Linked DNA regions of Canis lupus familiaris. The protein of the gene in region 3 purifies or fractionates together with the protein of the main gene of each other region. This does not show direct contact. Links are inferred from orthologs where the notes say so. Each region holds a gene or a part of one and is shown on either strand. Other genes may lie near its edges. The genes, in order: EDC4, NEDD9, CRK, ASAP1 and DOCK5.

The links.
Region 1: the proteins of CRK (region 3) and EDC4 purify together in Homo sapiens (affinity purification with mass spectrometry; 3 studies listed by BioGRID and IntAct, with this or other methods). This does not show direct contact. The link is inferred for Canis lupus familiaris from reciprocal best matches to the Homo sapiens genes CRK and EDC4.
Region 2: the proteins of CRK (region 3) and NEDD9 purify together in Homo sapiens (affinity purification with western blotting; 3 studies listed by BioGRID). This does not show direct contact. The link is inferred for Canis lupus familiaris from reciprocal best matches to the Homo sapiens genes CRK and NEDD9.
Region 4: the proteins of CRK (region 3) and ASAP1 purify together in Homo sapiens (affinity purification with mass spectrometry; 3 studies listed by BioGRID and IntAct, with this or other methods). This does not show direct contact. The link is inferred for Canis lupus familiaris from reciprocal best matches to the Homo sapiens genes CRK and ASAP1.
Region 5: the proteins of CRK (region 3) and DOCK5 purify together in Homo sapiens (affinity purification with mass spectrometry; 3 studies listed by BioGRID and IntAct, with this or other methods). This does not show direct contact. The link is inferred for Canis lupus familiaris from reciprocal best matches to the Homo sapiens genes CRK and DOCK5.

Annotation. Positions count from the first base shown.
Region 1 is NC_049226.1:82,196,189-82,200,491, reverse strand, and holds the start of EDC4 (enhancer of mRNA-decapping protein 4), read left to right. Parts: upstream 1-1,402; 5' UTR 1,403-1,554; coding exon 1,555-1,639; intron 1,640-1,734; exon of another isoform or gene 1,735-1,871; intron 1,872-3,963; coding exon 3,964-4,120; intron 4,121-4,303. UniProt on the Homo sapiens protein: In the process of mRNA degradation, seems to play a role in mRNA decapping. Component of a complex containing DCP2 and DCP1A which functions in decapping of ARE-containing mRNAs. Promotes complex formation between DCP1A and DCP2.
Region 2 is NC_049256.1:12,338,298-12,342,595, forward strand, and holds the start of NEDD9 (enhancer of filamentation 1), read right to left. Parts: upstream 2,806-4,298; 5' UTR 2,605-2,805; intron 1,998-2,604; exon of another isoform or gene 1,858-1,997; intron 1-1,857. UniProt on the Homo sapiens protein: Scaffolding protein which plays a central coordinating role for tyrosine-kinase-based signaling related to cell adhesion. As a focal adhesion protein, plays a role in embryonic fibroblast migration.
Region 3 is NC_049230.1:45,570,727-45,574,848, forward strand, and holds the start of CRK (adapter molecule crk), read right to left. Parts: upstream 2,912-4,122; 5' UTR 2,805-2,911; coding exon 2,564-2,804; intron 1-2,563. UniProt on the Homo sapiens protein: Involved in cell branching and adhesion mediated by BCAR1-CRK-RAPGEF1 signaling and activation of RAP1.
Region 4 is NC_049234.1:27,597,430-27,601,096, forward strand, and holds part of ASAP1 (arf-GAP with SH3 domain, ANK repeat and PH domain-containing protein 1), read right to left. Parts: intron 3,424-3,667; coding exon 2,924-3,423; intron 1,165-2,923; coding exon 1,042-1,164; intron 1-1,041. UniProt on the Homo sapiens protein: Possesses phosphatidylinositol 4,5-bisphosphate-dependent GTPase-activating protein activity for ARF1 (ADP ribosylation factor 1) and ARF5 and a lesser activity towards ARF6.
Region 5 is NC_049246.1:32,424,777-32,429,173, reverse strand, and holds the start of DOCK5 (dedicator of cytokinesis protein 5), read left to right. Parts: upstream 1-1,505; 5' UTR 1,506-1,550; coding exon 1,551-1,593; intron 1,594-4,397. UniProt on the Homo sapiens protein: Guanine nucleotide exchange factor (GEF) for Rho and Rac. GEF proteins activate small GTPases by exchanging bound GDP for free GTP. Along with DOCK1, mediates CRK/CRKL regulation of epithelial and endothelial cell spreading and migration on type IV collagen.

The DNA.
Region 1 (4,303 bases), on a different chromosome or scaffold from region 3:
CTGATGACTCCTACGTGGGGTAGGATCAGGGCTCTGGTAGTAGAGATGATCTAGAATCCCATTGAAAGGGACTCATCAGGTTCAGGTGCTCCAGACTGAGGGCTCAGCAAAACTACCATGTATAAAATGAGCAAAAGTTTGAGGGAGAGGGTCCTGTTCTACCCCAGAACAGTCAGGATCACATCCAGGGTACCCCATAAACCCCAAGCCAAGCAGAGGGCAGCTCAGGTTTTGTACTACCTGCTTTGGATATCCTTGCCCACAGAGCCAGGCCCAGTTTAGAGCTATTGAAAGTAGGCAATCTGAGTTTGAGGGATTTGTGCTCTGGGATTTCTCACCCCTCAGACCTCTGCAAGGCATCTCTAGGCCTCCTGCTTCCTCCCTCACCACACACATACTTTCACATTGTCTTCAAGTTCCAGGAAATCTTAACTCTTGGGGCAGTTAATGCTTTTCATTTTGGGGGACAGAGGCCTTCTGCTCACTGCAGAACTTGCCCTTTAGCCCTGAGACCTCTAGTGGTATAAATAAGCCTGGTGTCAAGGAAGCAACCAGAAGCTAGAACCAAACCCAGGGGTCAGGCTGGTGCCCTGTTAGGGGTTTCAGGATTGAGGAGGGTACCACAATTAGGCCTGACCTGCACTCCCCCTTCCCTCCTGCACTACAGATGGAGGCCAAGGACTTCTTCAGACCCCCCACAGGTTGCCTGGCTACACTGAGCACAGGCCTGGATGATGGATTGTTTTTAGGAGACCACAAATTCGGATTTCAGGGGGACTGATTTAGGAGGCTGGGGGTGGGGAGTGGGGGTTGGGAGAGAGGTGGATGCCTGATGCCTCTTAAACCACCCTGTGTAAAATCTGCAATACAGCTTCTTCCATGTACCTGTGCCTGAAATTTCTGCAATAAAGAGGTGTTTGTAAACTCTGGTTTCTTTATTCCTGCCTGAGGGTGTCAAGCCTGGGTGGGTAAAGGATGCTGGGGGACATTAACAATGTGACGTTCTGGTCTGACAAGCTCCCCTAGCAATTCCTGGGCTTAAGATTCCCCTGAGGCCTGGGTTGCCCTACCGTATTTCCCCAAGGGGAAACTAGGCTCCTACCAATTTAGCTTTCTCCTTGGGAGGGTCTTAAGGAGTTGATCCAGTTCCAGGCCTATCATGTTTCCGTGTTCTGGGAATGAACACAGGCTGGACAGGATGTCCTGAGCTGAATAGGGTTTTCGGCGGTCCTATACGCGCCCAATTGCCCTGAGGAACGCCCACTGACCTAGGGGTCCCGGAGGGGCGAAGCTTCCGCCCCCAGCCCGGAACCTTTCTTCTCCGTACTGCTTAGGTTCCGGGAGCCGGAGCTCCGGCGGGCCGGAAGTGGAGGCGGTTGGTGGGGCTGGTGGGGTACAGGGACGCGGCGCGGGCGGCGGTTTGCGGGCAGCGGGCGGGCCGAATCTAGCGACCCGTGTCCTGCCGTCTGGTCCCGGCAGGGCTGTGCGCGGCTGCACTGTGCGCGGCGGCGGCGAAACGAACGCGGCGCGGGAGAGGCGCCCGCGGCTGGGCCCATGGCCTCCTCCTGCGCGAGCATCGACATCGAGGACGCCACGCAGCACCTGCGGGACATCCTCAAGCTGGACCGGCCCGCGGGGGGTGAGCCGGGACAGCGGGGGTGGGCCTTCGGCGAGCGGGCCTTAGGGCGGCGCGGGCCTGGGCCGTCCTCAGTGTCCGCAGGTCCCTCAGGACCCGTGCCGCATCTTCCTGGCTGGTGAGGCAAGACGAGGGTTGGAGCCGTAAATTCCTGAGCGTGCCCCGCAAGGGTGCAGATCCCTTCCTATCCCGGGGCCGGGCCGTTCTGCCTCGCCCTTCAGCGTCTCTGCTGAAGGTGAGGTTCCTTCTCTGAATCCGCAGGGCCCCCTTGGTGTCCTGGCCCCAAGGTAGAAGCGTTCCTAGGGCTCGATCCGTATCATGGTGCCATGTAGTTCAGAGGCCTGATCAGGGCTCTGTATGCTAGTTTTGGGTCTAGACCTAAGCATTTTGCTGAGGAACCACTGGTCACCCTCTGCAACTTGCCCTTCACTCTGGAATAGACTCCAGGCCTGCTGTTCTAAAACTGATTCTTAGGAGACAGGTGACCAGCCCCAGGATGTGTCCTTTCTGAGATTAAAGCAAATCACAGATTGCATGGCCCTGATTGGATTAGGCTACAAACATCTGCAAGCCCTAGTTTATTTCCATTCATTTAAACTTGACTTGCAGTGATAACCTCAGAGTTGCTCCTACCCTTAAAGAGCTCCCAGGACTTAGAGAACTAATGCTGTTGTCATTGGGGGTGGGGGGGGGGCGTATTTTGGTACTGTGATGAAGACAGGGTAGGAGGTTAGGGCTGGATAGTGCCTGAGAACAGATCTGAGAAGACAGTGTTTAGGCTAGGTGTTAATAGTATGATATGACCAGGTGATTCAGTGTCAGGAATGGCATTCTACAAAGAAGAAATAGCATGTATGAAAGCACTGCCAAAGTTTCCTGGTAGGTTAGGGACCTGTGAAAAGCAGTGGTTGAAAGACTGGCTGGTGATGGTGGTGTGGGGTGTGCAGGGGCCACAGCTGAGAATTGGTGTTTCTTCAGACTCTGTTCTTAAACTTGCTGGGAGGCCCAAACTGGCTGCTTTTAGAAGCAGGCATTGGTGCTCACACTGGGTGGGTTTAGCTACCCCTGGTCCCCTTAGGAAAATCCATCTGCTGCGTGAAACCACTAAGTACTTTGCCCCAAACCTGGAGTGTGTGCTCGGTTTACTCGTGAGCTTGGTTGGCTTGGACCGCTCATGGTCATCAGCACTGGGCAGACTAGACTGCACAAAGATTTGGTAGAGGCTGGCATGGCCAATATTTTGCAGCTTGTTTCTTTGTCCTTATGGTAGCCTACCTTGGAAGGAGAGTGGCCAGCTTACTCCTGAGCAGCTAAAGTGGCTCTGATCCAAGTGAAGTGGCTTGGAGGCTTTCCACTTAATATCTTACGTATTGATTGGTATTTAATTGCCCCATTTACCAATTAGCTCTTGCTTGTCTCCTCTGGAGGCACTGGAGGACCATGTTAGATGCCAGTGTGGGGGCCTAGTCTCCTTGTCATCTGGGAGTTTTAGGGTGGTATCTGAGCCTATAAGGGTGCTTGAAATAGCCAGTGGCAAACAACTGAAATCCTTTCTTTCCTGACTACACACCCTATCCTAGAGTTGCTCTCCACTTTGTCCAACCCCTTTGTGTCCATTCCTTCTGAGTTTACCTGCCCAAGGTGGCTTCTTCTGAACCATTTCTTTGAGGGGCAGGTTTCTTTCTTTCTTATTCCCACATCTTATCAGTGTTCTTTCATGCCTTAGAAGCCCATCTTCCTTTCTATATCATCTACCACTATCTTGGTCTAGGTTCTTAAATTATATCCTACATGCTGCTTTAGAGCAGTCATTCTTTTGGCCATAGCAGACCATGTCACCTTTCCATTTAAAACTCTGTGTGGCTCTCTGCGCTACAGGGAAAATTTAAGCACCTAAGCTTCATATCTGAGACCTCTATGGCTTGTCTTCCCTCCATCTTTCCTATACTTGTGTGTGCCAGCCTTACTGGCTCTGATGTACCTCCTTTATGAAGTCTGTCCTGACCCTTTCCATGCCTTCTCTTGAGTACAGAGTCCCTTTGTACTGACCCAGGCCTAAATATTAATTGGCTGCATGGGATTCTTGATGGCTTTACTCCTCCCTCAGGCAGAAGAGCCACATGCATGTCTTTGGTCCTGGCAGGCATTGGGATAACTATCAGTATTGATGGAACAAAAGATGAACCAAGAGTCCTCCTCCCCTCAGACATGGCTCCCTCAGTTGAATGTTCCCAGAGCACCTCATGGCTTTTGAATGAAGTTCGGCAAGAGGAAAGGCCAATGGGCAGGTGGAACAGCCTCATCAGAGTAGACCTTTCTATCCCCAGGTCCCAGTGCAGAGAGCCAGCGGTCATCTAATGCCTACAATGGGGATCTCAATGGGCTTCTTGTCCCAGACCCCCTCTGCTCAGGTGATGGTACTTCAACAAACAAGCCTGGTCTCCGGGCCATGCCACCTATTAACCTTCAGGAAAAGCAGGTCATGTGAGTGTCTGGGAAATGGCAATGATGGTATTGGGGTCTTTGGGGTGGTGCACTTAATCACATATTTGTGTTAGGATGAGGCTCAAGGACAAGCTCAAGAGCTTGGCCTGGATCCAAAGTTTGGGCTTCCATTTTAGAGTGGAAATAGGCCCATTACCAAGGAGGAAGGTGAGGAAAGGGAGC
Region 2 (4,298 bases), on a different chromosome or scaffold from region 3:
TTTTCGAGGAACCATCCTACTCTTTTTGGAGGGACCCTTCTCCTCTATTTAAATGTTAGAATTTGGGACACCTGGGTGGCTCAGTGGCTCAAAGGAGTATCTGCCTTTGACTCAGGTCATGATCCCGGGGTCCTGGGATTGAGTCCCACATCGGGCTCCCCACAGGGAGCCTGCTTCTCTCTCTGCCTATGTCTCGGCCTCTCTCTCTGTGTCTCTCATGAATGAATAAAGATAGGCTCTTTTTAAAAAAAAGTTAGAATTTCTTGAGATTCAATTCTTTTTTCTTCTTTCTTTCTTTCTTTCTTTCTTTCTTTTTCTTTCTTCTTTTTTTTGTTAGATTGTATTTATTTAAGAGAGAGAGAGAGAGAGCACAAGCAGTGGGGAGGGGGATGGGAGAGGAAGAGAGAATCCTAGGCAGACTCCATGCTGAGCACGCCCTACACAGGACTTGATCCCATGAACCTGAGATTATGATCTGAGCCTAAATCAAGAGCCAGACGCTTAAGTGACTGAGCCCCCCAGGTGCTTCTTCCTTGAGGTTCAATTCTAAGCCACTCTCCTGCTTTCTCACTCAACACTTTCCTGCAGGTCACCCGTACCCACGGCTACACTTACCAACCCCACGCCTAGGATCCCCAGACCTCTGCTCAGAGCTCTAAATATTGGTCAGTGTCAACCGGCTGGCTGACATCTACCACTGGATCGATTCTAGAACTGAACCAACCCTGGCCTGGTCCCGACCAGCTTCGCCAGTCTCTGTGATCGCCAAGGAGCATCAGCATCCACTTGGATGTGCAAACCAGGAACTGGGGGTTGTCTTGGATACTTTCCCTCCCAACTCCCCTTTTCTGTCTACCACCAAGCACTGTCGATTTTCCTTTCTAAATGACTTTTAACTTTGTGCAGTCCTCTCTCCGCTGCCATCTCTCTTAGCCATACTCACATAGATACTCTTGCTTGGCTGACTCCATCCACCTTCTCATTGGTCTCCCTGCCCATAGGTGTAGCCCCCTCCCATCCATTCTCCAAACCTATCAAAAGGGATTTCTTAAGAATGCAGATCAATCTGACCACAACACCTCTACCTTCTCCATGGCTTTTAGAGTAAGCAGCACCTTCTCTGCTGGGCCTCTGGGCTCATTTTGAGCCACTCCCCACTTCCCTCCTGCTGCACTGGCCTTGGTTTTGCCAGGTGATTCTGTGGTCTCCTACCTCAGGAAGTGGTCTCCACTGTTCCCTCTACCTGGAGCGTAGCCTTGTGCACTCCTACGCCTTTTTCAGTTCTAGTCTCCCCCCTCCTTCTGGAAACCTCCCTGCCTTTCAGATGAGATCAGCTTCCCCCACAATATGTTCTGATCATTATCACATTTGTGTAATTAGTAATTAACGTCTGCTTCTCCCCTGGACCGTAAGCTTTTTGGAAGCGGGACAACATCAATTTTGCTCCATCTAATGTTAAGTTTGGACTTAAACGCAGCTGCCACACAGTGAATACTCACGAGATAGGTGTTAAATACGTGAATTAACTAATGAATGAGAAATGGAACTCCACCTCAAGGCTGATTTCACATCCTTCTCTCTCCTCGGCTCCCCTTTGCCCTATTCTTAAAACAGGAATGTCCTTGAAAATTGGGCGGAATTTCCTCCCAAGCATGGAAGGAAACAGAAACAAGGTTGAAAACCATCTGGCTGGTTCCCAGAGCTCTGTCATGGGCAACTGCTCTTTGAACTCACTCCTGGGTGGGAACCAGCTTCGGGGGGGAGAGAAGACCAGAGAACCCACTCCCAGCTCTCACCACTGGCACAGGGAAAAATATAAACAGCTCACCCATGTCCACACAGTTTGAACAACATGTAACCCTTTTAGAAATGGCTTTAGCCCTTTTACATTGTACGTTTCCTTCATTCTGAAAGAATTTCAGCAAGATAAAAAGGCTGCCTCAAACCCTTTGTGGAAGAAAGGCAATCGAATGAATGAATGAGTTACGCGTGACTTAGTAAGTATTGAGAGAAGGAAGGACAAAGCTGTTGGGGGGGCCGGGTGTGGACAAGTAGAACACAGTGCAATTTGTCCCCAAGCCCTTAGACATGATGCTAATGATGGGGTCTCTGCAGAGCTGGACACGACTCCAGTTCTCAATCATGGTTTCCTGCTCCTCAGGGGTCATTCCCAGAGGGGCTGAAATGGCATTAGAAATGACTCACATCCACCATAAGGTTTAAGTGACAGCCCACACCTGGAAGCCCTGAAATGGTGTCAGAGAAGCCAAAGCATAAGGTAATCCTAGGTAAGCTCTCTGAGGAGGGCAGCAAGAGGGGAGGAGCCGCCCAGCTTCTAGACCAGGAAGCACCTACCCAGGTTGATTTCAAGGCTAGAATCAATCGTGTAGGTTTGGGGTTGCATGCAAGCCCCTGCCTGCAGGTCAACTGGAAAGAAACCTGGAGTCACTCTTCCCTGCTTGGGGCCATTGAGTCCCTCTTGGCTCCAGTCAAGGGGTGTCGGCAGTGGGGAGCACTAACAGATGTCTGACACCAACTCAGGAAGTCCGAGTGTGAGTGAGTCTCCCCACCCCCCCAGGCCACAGTGAGTGTCTGGGGACTCACCCGGGGCAGGCCCACTGGTGCTGGCTCATCTGGTCTTCCCTGATGTTCTGGCCCTCTCTCTCTCTCTCTGGCCAGGCAGGCGGGAGGTGACGGCTCAGTCCCGCCTCATGATCCTGCTTCTCTCTTGCTGCAGCCACCAGACTTGCTTCTAAAGGCAGCTGCAAGCATTTCCCTACTGGGCAACCACACACGTAGAATGTGAGTGGCGTCCCTACGTGTGTTTTTCCTTCCGGTTGCTGCAAGTGATGTTGTCTCGGTTCATTTCCTCTCTGTGCCACAGTTGGTTTTTTTTTTTTTTTTTTTTTCTGATACACTGAGGGTGATCTGTAGTTTAGGGACAGGTGAGAAGTCTAGCTCTGATCTGGACTGCTTGCTACTTTAACAAGAGGTGATCTTTATTATCACGATGAAATTCAGGGGAGTGCCATAAGCTCCTTCCTAGGCTGCATGGAAGCAGACATTGGGCTATTGTAAGTCCACCAAATTCAGGTTTTTGTGGTTTTTATGGACTTAATGTATTCTAAAGAGTTCCACTATAGATTGACATGAAACATCTTTTCATTTAACCAGTATTTATTGAGTCTATGTGGTACCTGCTAGCCTTTGGGTACCCACATGGAGAATTCCCATTTCCAGGGTGGTATAGAACTGGAGACTGTGCATTTGGAAGGGAATTTGCCAGCTACTTAGTCTCAGACCTTTTGTCTTCTTGCTGTGTGCTTTGGAGTAGCACCCAAGTGGTATGGTCTGAAGCTAACCACCTGGTGCTTGCCTTTAAATGCTTTTGATCTTTCTGTGACTCAGCTTCCTCATCTGTAAAATGGGAGTAGTCATAGGATTGTTGTGGGAATTAAGTGAGGCGTTACATGTAAAGCACTCAAGGAGTGGCTGCCACAAGTATATGAGTGTTTGCTATTATCATTAGTGGCAAATGTTATTATTATGAGCTCAGTTCTTTGCTTTTTTTGCCTTCTCTTCCCCCTCCTTATCCCTTGCTGATGCCTAGAAATGACTGGGGGACAGAGAGGATGGAGGAGAGAGGGAGACGGTTTGAACAAAAGTGGCATGGGATGCTCCTGTTTGCTCTAGTATCAAGACAAGTAAAGCACTGTCCTCGGCCCTCCCTTCATCCTCGCCCTCTGTTCCTGCTGTATATTGCATACCGGCAACTTCTGTTTTGTTATTGTCATTTTGTTTTGTTTGAATTTTCTGTAATCCTCTCTGAAATTCAGATCCATGTCATTTATTTTAAATGTCGAGCTGGTCTGAATCATATTAAGGAAATACTTGCCCATAAGCAGATGCCACATTTATTTATTTATTTTTAAAGATTTTATTTATTTATTCACGAGAGAGAGAGAGAGAGAGAGAGAGAGGCAGAGACACAGGCAGAGGGAGAAGCAGGCTCCATGCAGGGAGCCTGATGTGGGACTTGATCCCAGGACCCCGGGATCACGCCCTGGGCTGAAGGCAGACACTAAACCACTGAGTCACCCAGGGATCCCCAAGATGCCACATTTAAACAAAGAAACAAACCCTCAGCTCAAAGCCTTGTGTAATTAGGATTTATAAATAAATCAATAAGAAGAATATCTATGGCAATCTTCATACACATGTTGTATCCATAGGTGTAATTAGCAATATTCATGGTAAAAATATCATCTGTTTATCTTTCTCTCTTTTTCTTAAAAAAA
Region 3 (4,122 bases):
GAATTCCGAAGTTGAAAATCTGGCTCAGTCATTTATCAGCTGTGTGACCTTGGGCAAGTTCCTGAATCTCTCTGTTTCCTCACCTATAAAATGAAAATATTTTAGTAAATAGAGATTACAGTATTTCTCACCAGATTGTTATAGACAGAAAATGAGACAAGGCACAGAAAGTACTCAGCAAAGTACTTGGCACAGAATAACCAGTCAATAAATGTTAGCTATTAATACTCTACACGCTTTTCTAAAATTAAAGAAATTCCTCTGTATAGTTTCAAAAAGAAAAGAGCTTGACGGGGAAGCAAGGAGAACAAAGACTAAGTAACCTTTATAAAGACAGCAACTCAATCAATTGCTCTATGTGAAAAACTGGGCACATTACCAGAAACAAGAATTAACACAATGCCTGTGAACTTTCCACACCCCATCCACAAACTCTGGCAATCTTCACCTTCTCTCTTGAGCCAAGGATTTGAACTCCTATCTGTTATGAAAAGGTGGAGCTCAATATCAAGGTAAGCGCAGAGATATAAAGTCATAACACAAAGGTGTGTAGAAAGCTCAAACCAGCAAACCTGCCTGTTGTCATCTCCAAATTTTGCAAAACGCATACATAAAAGGTTGAAAACTGGGGGTGCAGGAGGTTGAAAATTGAATTTCAGTGACAGTTTGACATATTACTGCACTGTAATGCACAACCCTAGATACCAAGAAGGTGGTGAAAAAGCACAACATAGGGATCCCTGGGTGGCGCAGCGGTTTGGCGCCTGCCTTTGGCCCAGGGCGCGATCCTGGAGACCCGGGATCGAATCCCACATCGGGCTCCCGGTGCATGGAGCCTGCTTCTCCCTCTGCCTATGTCTCTGCCTCTCTCTCTCTCTCTCTCTGTGACTATCATAAATAAATAAAAATTAAAAAAAAAAAAAAAAAAAAAGGAAAAGCACAACATATCGGGTTTAGGGCAAATTTATGTTCTATCAATATTCCTGTCTCATGTTATGCTATTAAACCAAACAGACTGGGACGTGCCTGGGTGGCTTAGCGGTTGAGTGACTGCCTTCACCTCAGGGCATGATCCTGGGTCTGGGGATTGAGTCCTGCATCGGGCTCCCAGCGAGAAGTCTGCTTCTCCCTCTGCCTGTGTCTTTCATAGATAGATAGATAGATAGATAGACAGATGATAGATAGATAAATAAAATCTTAAAATAAAAATTAAACCAAGCAGACTGAGAAGACCTAGGATACTTCCTGGATTTAAAGATCTCATACTCTTCCTATAATTGATACGTGTTAGCAACAGAGACTGACTATCCCATCTCCCTATTTCTGGCCAGAGTGAATGAATCTAAATTAGGACTATCCCTAAAGGGCAAGTTTGCAAAGGCTGGCTCAGGAGGCTCCTAATTCTTATGAGACTGGCCTGGAGCTAGCCTCAGCTGGTCAGAAGAAAACTGCTTCAATTTGAAAAATGAGAAAGACTACAACTCTTGGTGCTGTTACACAGATGATGGTAATCTGACAATAACCTCAGAATTACTCTGTATTTCACAAATCTCAAGTACTAAGTGCATGAACCTCCTTAACATTCTCCAAACAGCTCTAAAGGCGTAAGTAGGACAGTCACATCTCAGTGATCCTTGGTTAAGAAAGAAAAGGGCCACAGCCCCAACTTACTGAGCAAGAGGCCCTGACATATGACATTGACAATGCTTAAGTCCAATGAAATTGGAAGTTCCATTCACTTCCAAGGAAGGGACTGTTTCCACTGGCTTATTTCCTGGGAGGGGTGTGGGGGCATAGAATCTGTCCTCCACAAAATACCCTGAAAACTAGAACCCTCTAATTGTGGAAAAGAGTCTCTGGACGCCAAGATCTCTTGGACACGGTCAGCTGGACATCAACTTGTTCTGGGCTGATCACAGAGGGCTTACTTCTGTCACCAAGGCACTTAGCTCACCACCTTCGTCCTCCGCGGGGGAAGAGGACAGTAAAAGTATTTTGGAAAGATGCCCAAGAAAGGAAAAAGCTGACCGGTTTCCTGAGGGTGTCTCCATCCCTCCGGGCTAGTATGTGGTGACTTCCTATCAAAGGCCAGCAGGGGAGAATAGCTCTCCAAACCAAACCCGGCTCTCTAACAGTACAGGAAATGTTTCAAGCCTAAAAAGCCACTTGTAGGATTATCGAATTCATCCTGGGAACCGCTGCCAAGTGATGCCCCCGCAGTGCCAATATCCCCCTCCGCTCTTTGTCCCCACGTTGCCCGCCCTGCCCTAGTGCCTGGCCCCGGCGCTAGCCCCACCCTGGGGCCGAAGCAGTTCCCCTTCCCCTGGGCTGTCCTCCCAAGTCACACCCAGAGGCCTGGGTCAGCGGCTCCTCCTCCACACACACACAACCGCCAGTGGTGGGAACGAGCCCGGGCACCAAGGTACCCCCATGCCAGGGTCGCTCCAGCCCTCTGCCCACGTCCCTCGTGGAGGCTAGCTCGCGAGGGGCAGCCGGTCAGGCTGGCGAGTTCCGCGGCCCTCACCCCGCCCGGGGCCTCCCGTCCCGTCCCGTCCGTCCTCACCGGGCGGAGGCTGGGCGGGCGACGGTGGCACAGACGGGCGCGGGCCGCTGCTGTTGATGATGTAGTGGGAGACGCGCGAGTTCTCCGAGACGCTGAGCACATAGTCCCCGGGGCTGGTGCTCGAGTCCCGCACCAGAAACACCCCGTGCCGCTGGCCCTGCAACAGCGCCACCGCCTCCTGCCGGCTCAACCGCCCCCAGTACCAGCTACTCCGCTCCTCCGAGTCGAAGTTGCCCGCCATGGCCGCCTCCGCGCCTACACGCTGGGCCGCCGCCGGCACGCGCGCCCCTCCTGCCCCGGCGCCCGCCGCCCAGCGGACCGGCTCGGGTCTCAGCTTCACAGCAGTGCCCGAAATGGCGGCGGCGGCCGCGGGCCTTCCCCACCGGAAATGACGCGCACCTTGCCCCCGCGAGGATGCCGGGAAGGGGACCGCAACCCGCCATGGGGAGAAGGGCAAAGGACAGCTCGGGTGCGCACTGCGCATGCGCCGCCGTGTGCGTCGCCGCCTGGCGGGGATCGGGACTGCAGGGGATGGAGGGGCCAAGTCCAGGGCCGGTGGTAGGGGCTCAGCGAGGAGTCGGCGGAGGTTTGTGTTTGCGGTTTTGGCCACGCGGCTCCAGGGTTCGAGTTCCTGGAAGGCCCGGGAATTCTAGGCAGCAACTCCGAGACACAGTTGGACTACAAAAGATGTATGTGGCCTCAGGGCCTGAGCTCCTGGAGACTTTGGTCCTTTTCTGGTGGTTCCTCCATCTTCTCTCTAGACTGGCTTAAGTATTTTGTTTGCACTGATTGACTCAGCAGTTACTGACACCACATTTGCTCTGTGGGTGCAAAGGTGATCAAGGTTTGGGCCCTGACCTCACAGAATTCACAGACCAGTGGGAGGAAGCAGGAACAATGACAAAGGAATTCCAAGCACTGTGAGAGGGAACCAACCAGGAGCTCCAGCCCAGTCTGTAAAGGGATTCAGTCCTCCACCTACCAGAGGAGGTGGCTTGAGCTGAATGTTGAATGGCCAGTAGGGGAAGAGCATGCAAGACAGAGAGAGCAGAATGTGCCAAGCCAGGAGTTCTCTGGATTGAGTCTTTCAAGTCATTTGCCCAGATTCTTCTAAACACTAGTCGTGGCCAGGGGTATCCTCTATTCTCCTTACTATCATGATCTCTGTCTCTGTATTCCATATCTGTATCTGTATTCCTGTGAACAGCCTGTTCACTGGTGCCCTATAGACTTGCTGCTCTAAGTACATTGCACACATCTGACAGTGTGTGCTTTCTAAATTACAACTCTAAGACTGTTCCTACCCTGTGCACAACTTTTAACAGTCTCCAGAACTGGGACGCCTGAGTGGCTCAGTGGTTGAGCATCTGCCTCTGGCTCAGGGGGTGATTCTGGGATGTGGGATCGCATCCCACATCAGGCTCCTTGCAGGGAGCCTCCTTCTCCCTCTGCCTACATCTCTGCCTCTCTCTGTGTCTCTCATGAATAAATAAATAAATAAAATCTTAAAAAAACAAACAAACAACAGTCTCCAGAACTTAAAATTCCCAGTTTAGGTC
Region 4 (3,667 bases), on a different chromosome or scaffold from region 3:
CTTCCTCCGGGATGTCTCGGCTGCAGCACTGCGCACATTGCAGGCCAGTCCTCTTGCACTCCCAAGCACCCCTGGCTTCCACTGGCCAGAGGCTCAGAGCACCCACCCTCCCAGGTCCTGACAATCGGAACTCTGGGGGGCAAAGCTGCACGGGCCTCTGAGCCACTGCTTCGGTCCATGCAGAACCTGTGATCAGGAGTCTGGAGGTGCTCTCCAGGCCCAAAGGAAGAAAAGCCAAAGGAGCACGCATGCCTGCTGCATGTAGACGTGTGTTTGCATGTGTGTACATGTGTGCGTGCACCTGTGCTTCGGGCCCTGGCAGGCTCTGCTGGCTCAGCTGTGAACCGCAGGTCCCTTCCTCAGCACACAGAACGGGTCCCTCCGGGCAGGTGGGACCCAGGCTGAGAGGAAGCAGCATCCCCAGCCAGGAGAGACACCTGCCACGGTGGCCACCACCCACGGTGCCTCTGGCCTGCTGTTTGTCACAGGAGGCTCAATCCTGACAGCCTCAACAGCACAGATGCGTAGGGCTGTCCTTGGAGCCGCTGAGAATCTCCAAGCTGTGTGAGGACGCTCGGGCAGCAGGTTTTAATGTAAAAGGGATTTTTGTAGATATTTCTGTTTACTCCCGTAAAATCAAGGGAGGAGGGTATCATGCCCCACTTTACAAAGGCAGAACCGCCGGATTGAGGATGGAGCCCCCGGCCCTGATGCCTGGCCCGGGATGGCCTGACACGGGGACTCGGGCTCTGAGGTCAGAGATGCTTCCGAAGGCTGACCGCCTGCCTCCGACCTGTGTCACATGCTTAACCTCGAGCCTCAGTTTCACATCTGAAAAAGCAGGAAATGCCTGCGGCTTGCAGGTTGTACGATCACGAGGGCAAAGCACAGGCACACGTTCGTTCTCCCAACCCGGTGTCAGAGCTCCACGCCTGCGTTTCTAGCACGACTCGGGGAGAGAAGACGCCCCATGAAAACGCTGGAGGGCAAGTGAGGACCCCGGTCCCCGGGGGCGCCCGCCCGAGGCGGCCTGGTACATACCCACCACTCCTGGTCCTCCTCCCCTGTGACGACAATCACTTCCCCCTCCATGAACGTGAGCTCGTCGTCATTGTCCGCCTGGCAGTCGTAGATGGTCTTCACTCGTCTCACCTTGTTTTTCCCCTTTAAGAAAGAACCTGGGTTTTAGCTGGACAAAAGCACACAGTGGCCTTGGGCCCGTGATTTACCCTCACTGAGCCTCCACGTCTCCTCTGTGGAGGGGGCGGCAAGCGCGGGGGGCTGTGTGCTCCCCCACTCTGTGCCCCCCACACCAGGACAGAGGAAACCGCAAGTGGGGATTGAAATCCAGCCTCGCCCAAACCCCTGAAGCACCCTGCCCTCCCCCACTCCCGAGAGCAGCTTGCAGAGATGACAGCAGAGTCTAAAAATGGTTTTGGGAAACATGATGTAAAGAGAAATGTGCAGCTTCTGCATACTGAATGCACAGCGTAAACAAATTTCTCAGTCCCCTCATGCAAAGTACCAAGTCAGCACATGCTGGTTAAACAGGGCGGCGGCCCAGGCTGGGAGGATTCTAGGCAGTTGCCCAAAATGTTTTAATTTCTGATCAGTTTTCACTTGCACTTTTATCTGCGGGACGTCTGGTTCTCTGCAGACAGACGGGAATGGAGAAATCATCTTCCAAAGGAGGTTTTTGGTGCCTCACTGATTAATTTGTTTTTTTTTTAAAAAGAAAAAAGCAAGCTGTGGCTCTCAATGTTTTGGGTCAAGTGACTTCTCTCTGTCCCTGGTTTCTCCCTAAGTCACCCCACTCCCTCCTGCGGTTCCTCCCGGGGCGCAAGCAGTGGGGCTGGTGGGGCAGAGGAACCGAGGCCTTGCAAGTCTTTGTTGTCTCGGGCCCATGGCCCCTAGGTGATACTTGATAACGGGGAGGATGAAATGAGGTCATAAAACAACTGGCAAGTGCACAGCACGTGCTGGGATCCCGTACGTCGAGGTGCCTGGCGGTGCCTGGGCTCTTGGGACATCGCCCCCGTGAAGAGCAGAGGCATCTGCCGCCGTACATAGGGACTGCGGTGGTCTCCAGCCCGAGGGAGAACGGGCTTTGTTTTTCCTGCCCTTCCCTTAGTGTGGAAGTGACACACTTTTACCGCAATGCTGATTTTATAATGAGCGAGGGCGGATCCCCTGTGTGCAGTGGGAGGCCTTCCGGTTCCTCACTAACTGTGCTCCTCAGCCGTGGGGGTGCAGCCGTGGGCGGTGCAGATAGTACACTGAATGCTCCCGGGGCACTTTCCCAAAAAAAGAGTGTTTTTTTTTGGGGGGGGAGGGGAAGCATTTTTATATTAAAATAAAATCGGTATATTGTAGAGAGCATTTCAGGAAAAGGAGGGAATGTGGGGTGTCAGCCGAACTCTGCTTGTGCAAGTCTCATTGGGCTTTGCCTCTGGTTCCTCTGGGAAGATGCGGGGAGAGCTGAGTGGGAGATTTTCAGAACCCTGAGAGGGAACCTGCCTTCCTGTGATTCTAAGAAAGGGAAATATCATCCTCCAGGCTCTAAGACAAGTGTGTGCGGGCTGCCGCTCATCCCTCACTGCACCGAACTGCCCGTGAGCTCAGCGGCTGCATTAGCTCCTTCCGGTGTACCAGGGGACCGGGCTCAGAGAGGGTAAGGAATGCACCCAGGTCACACAGGGAGAGCGGGAGCTCAGGGCGGGTCCTGAAGCCCGCTGGCTGGAGTCCAACACCCAACACCCGCGTCCCTAACCACTAGACTCTGCTCCACCACCATGCCTGAACCACAGCCAGCTTAGGTGAGCAAGCTTGTGATTTTTCTGTGTTAGCTGGGGCACAGACTCTCCCGCCAGGTTTCGGAGAGCAGCAGGGTTTTGCAAAAGCCTCAAAATTGATGTCTACCCACCGTATTGATTTTCCTGGGCAGTGGTACGGGCGTCTCTGGCAGAGTGGGCGTGAGGTCATTGGAGTCTTCAGATGCTTGCTTTTGGATGGCGTCTCGGGACTGCACATTTGGGGAGAGATCCGCCGGGTGTGCCTTCTGCGTGACGTCGGGGGGCTGCTGTGCCTTGGGTGAGACATCTCCGGTCTGGGGTTTCACCAGCAGGTCCCCCAGCTGTGGTTTGGGAGGCAGGTCCTTCATCTGTGGCTTGGGAGGTAAGTCTGCCAGCTGGGGCTTGGGTGGCAGGTCGCCCAGCTGCGGCTTGGGGGGCAGTTCTCCTGGCTTCGGTGGCAAATCTCCAATTTGGGGCTTGGGAGCCAGTTCTGTGGGCTTCGGGGGCAGGTCTCCAGGTGGTGGCTTCTGTGGTAACTCTGCCAACTGCGATGACTTCTGGAAGATCTCGGGCGGGATGTTGGCTTTATCTAGGGAGAGGTGATGGCTGGTTTCTGTTTTCCTTAGTGCCACTGTGGGAAGCAACCACAGAGAGCAAGGTCACCAGAGGGGACCCCGAGGTGGGGAAGCGCTGTCCCCTCCTTCGGTCACCGGGAGGACCGATGGAGAGTGAGTGCCTGTTCTTAGAAGATGAAAGTTGGAAGCCTAGAAGGTGTCCACGGGACCGTATACGATTTCATGCCTCAGTTACGTAAGAACAGGATGTCCAAACTAATCCAGAATTAAAAAAACAAAAGACTATATAATACAAACAGG
Region 5 (4,397 bases), on a different chromosome or scaffold from region 3:
TCATTTACTCTGAGATTTTATTTCTATGGGTAAGGTAGCAAAGCATCCCTCCCCTCCACCGGGCAGCACAGGCGTCTCTAATCCCATCTTCAGTCCTGAGGTCTCTCCAGGAGCAAGTGAGATCCTGGAGGGCGTTCGGAGGGCTCCAACAGCAGTCTTCTGCAGTTCAGAAGAGCAGGCTTTGCTTTTGGCTGCTGGTCAAAACCATACAGTGAAGGAGAGATGACTCGGATGTGTCCTGTCCCCCTCTCCGCAGGGATGCTCTTTAGGCTGCTGGTCTTTTGGAAAAGGCGGTTGGGGGGGGTGTGTGTCTTGGGGCGAACTTCTCCCTTGATCATAGGGGCCCTCAATCTCTTCACTTGGGGAGGAGTCCCGGTGTTTGGGGTGGGGGTGGGGTGGGGGTACAGGATTTCCAAGTTAAGGCTCTCTAAACTCTAAAGAATTTCCCCAACGGAGCTCCCCGAGGAGACGGACCTTTCTGGGGTGCACATCGCCCCCCCCCCCCCCCGCACCAGGTCTCTATTTACCCGAAGACGAATGCGCCTGCTTTGAAAGCTCTAAACGTTATATGGTCTCATTCATTTGGGGGAATCTAAAAATCAGTGAAAGGGAATACAGGGGAAAGGAGAGAAAATGAGTTGAAAATATCAGTGAGGGTGACAAAACAGGAGAGACTCCTAAGTCTGGGAAACGAACAAGGGGTCGTGGAAGGGGAGGTGGGTGGAGGGATGGGGGTGACCGGGTGACGGGCACTGAGGGGGGCACTTGATGGGATGAGCACTGGGTGTTATGCTGTATGTTGGCAAACTGAACTCCAATTAAAAAAATTTTTTTTTAAAGAGAAGGAAAGCATTAAAGGGTGGCCCCGGGAGAGCCTGTGGGCCCTGGAGTCCTTCCGGCTCTCTCTCTCTCTCTCTCTCTCTCTCTCTCTCTCTCTCTCTCTCTCTCGGTCAGTGAAAGCTGCAGGGGGTGAGCGCAGCGTCAGCTGCTCATTCATTCAACAAATATTTACTGAGCGCCTGCTGAGTGCCAGGCACTGGGGGGCCCGGGGCGAGGAGCGACCTGGGACTTGATCCTGGGCCCCCCGGGGGCGCGGTGGGCGCGCCTCTGCTCCCCCGGGGTGCGCCGCCACCTCCAGGGACGCCCCGGGCTCCAGCCTGGAGGGTCTCACGGGGGACGAAGGGAAGGCGGCGGAGGGCGCAACAGTAAAACGAAAAAGCCGGAGCCGGTGGGCCCCGGGGCGCCGCTCCCGGGGAGCGCGCGAGGCGGGGCGGGGGAGCGCGGAGCGCGGAGCCCCGGGCGCGGAGGCGGCCCCGGCGGGCGGAGGGCGCGGCCGGCGGGAGGGGCCGGGGCGGCGCCGGGAGGGCCCAGCAGGTGACCGGCGGCCCGGCAGAGCCCCAGCGAGTCCCGCGCGCGCGGGCGGCGAAGTTTGCCGGAACATGGCGGAGGAGCCCGGGGCGCGCGGGAGCGGGGCGCGGCGGCGGCCGGGGCCCCGGGAGCTGTAGCCGCCGCAGCCGCAGCCGCCGCCGCCGCGGGGCGAGGTCGCCGCCATGGCCCGCTGGATCCCGACCAAGAGGCAGAAGTACGGGGTCGGTGAGTGCTCGCCCGAAGTTCGCGGGAGCGGCCCTGCCCCGCGGCGGAGGCTCCCCCCGGGCCCCCCGCGCCCCCCGCCCCCAGGGCGCAGGCGGCGCTGCCCGGCCGGGACGTCGCCCCCGGGGTGGGGAGTCTCAGCGCCCCCCGAAACGGCACTGGGGCTCCGGGACCCGAAGCCCCGGCGCCGTGCACGGTGCAAACGTCAAAAGCGAGCGCTCGCCCGCGGGGGTGTGGGGCGCGGGCCCGGGGCTCCCCCTTCTCCGCCCCAGCCTTGCGGATCCGTGGAGTGGTTTGTCCGCTCGCGGACCCGGGGCTTCTGCGTGCCGTCTGCTGGGCTCCCCAAGTGAGGTCCCCAAGTGAGGTGTGCGGGGGAGGGGGTAGGACGGCGCCCCCTTCCTCCAGGGACTGGGATGCCGGTAACAGTTGTAAAGTGAATGGGACACTCAAGCCGTGGGGTGGGGGTGATGGAGACGGAGGAGACGGCGAGCGGGCTGGGGGCGCGGACGCGCGCGTCCCTAACCGAGCGTGCCTAAAGGCGCCTACGACCGCCCTGCGAGGCCGCAGTTCCGTCCTGGGGCAGATAACGTGAGGATTTTTTTTTTTTTTTTTTTAAGATTTTCTTTATTCATTCATGAGAGGCACAGAGAGAGGAGAGAGAGAGGCAGAGGGAGAAGCAGGCTCCATCCATGCAGGGAGCCCATGCGGGACTCGATCCCGGGACTCCAGGATCAGGCCCTGGCCCGAAGGCAGGCGCTAAACCCCCCGAGCCACCCAGGGATCCCCACAGGAGCATATTTTGTTAAGGAACCTGTGGCAGGTCCTGGCCAGGCACTGGGCTTTCCTAAAGGTGGTGCTCCAGAGCCCCCACCACCCGCGGAGGGGTGGCTGTTGTGTTGTTGGGGACCCGAAAGCCTGGCTGTGCCTGGTTTTGACCCAGGTGGAAAACCGCGGTCCTTGCACCTGGTGTGTGTGTGTGTGTGTGTGTGTGTGTGTGAGTGTGCGTGTGCGCGCGCGTGCTGAGGTCTCTTGGAAAGACTGCCCTGAGCCGGGCCATCCCTGGGGCAGGTGGACTTCCGAGCGGTTCCCTAGAATAAACACAGTTGTGTGTGTGGAGCATTTTATCACTTCCTCCCAGGTTCATTCATTCGGTCCATCTGTAATGTAATCTTTTATTTTACTCGCTTTCCCGGGCCCCATTTTTCCTTACCGCTTCAGTTAGTAGGGAGGGAGGGATCCCTGCAGCGCTTCTGTGCTTTCTGACACACTGAAGTCCTCTTGGGATACTCTTTAAACAACCTCCTCTAGGTGCTTTTCGACTCTGTAACCACAGAGTCCGTTAAAAACCCAACAACAAAACCCTTTCACATTTAAAATAGTATCTTAATTGTGACCCTTTCTGTGTATATGTAGCTGTATATGTGATATGTACTGTGTATATGTAATTCCTTGTTGCCCCCCTATTCCAAAAAACTTGTTTCCTCTTAAATTTCCTTTAGAATCCTTGCACTCTCTTGTGGCAGCAACTCAGAAATGAGTGTTTCTTCTGACCCACAGTATCTGGTCAGAATTTGGTCCTGAGGCTTCAGGCAGGTGCCAGTGAGTAGCCAGTAGTTATGGAAGGAAAATGGTCTGTGATAGATGGAATCGATTTATTTTTGAGCATTACAGAGTACTACTAAATTAAAGCATAATTAGCAATGCCTGCTCATTAGTTACTATTTACAAAGATAGCAGTTTTGATTTTGTTTCTAACAGGATCCAACACTATGACTTTCATGTAGTTAATGCCAAGCATACCCCTCAAATGTGGTTTTAATTACCATAGTCATAGGAGCAAGTGTGACATGTTTTCTTTTCAGTAATACTACCCCCCCCCCCCATTCTGGAATCAGGTTACCATGTTATTTATCAGCAGTCAAGAAAAGCATTTGAAATGCATTTCCAGGGCATAGGTGGTAGCAAAACTGCCCCAGGATATAATTTGGCACACTTATTTTACTAGACACAATAGATTTTGATTAATCTTGGCTTGACAAAAGGACCCACTGTTAGGACAGATTAGCTGAGGAGATAAATCACCATTGTTTATTCCTAAAACTCTCTGTTGTTCTCAGTGCCTCCCGCTTGGAAGCCTTCCTTGGCCTACCGGGGTAAAGTCTAAATTGAGCCCAACTTTCAAGGTTATGATAATCTGGTTCGACCTGTCTCCACCAACTTTATCTCTCCTGGCTTCTTTCATTAACTTACCAGGGCAGACACTGCCCTTCTCTGCTCTTGTGCAACATGCAATGAAGAGGTTCTCCCTTTGGGACTTTGCTCCCAGAGTGCCCTCCCAGTTCTGTATCATCTCCAATCCAGCCTATTCCTCGGGGGGCTCAGATGCATTTGCATTGCTTCCCCAGATTTGGTATGAACCGGACCTTCTTCCCAAACCCGTATGCCTCTCCTCACAATCACTACATTGTGCCACACTTTGTTACTTATCCTTTTATCCTTGGGTTCACTGAATCAGGTTATGGTTCTGTATCCCTGTCATGATACCAGGTAGAGAGCCTGTATTCAGTAACTGCTTGTCCTTGCTGTTGAGGTGACACTCTAAAGCCTTAACCTCATTTCCATGATGATTTAATGCAGTTCCTCTCCCCACCCCCCCACCCCCATTCACCACAGTATGAGTTTTATTTTGTTTGGTTAAATGTGCGTAGTGAGAGCCTTCGGTGTCTTTATTTCTTTGCAAGCAGAAAAATGAGATGTGCTGTTGAGAAAATAAGGAAGCATCGAGTAGACAGACTTCATTTAAATAT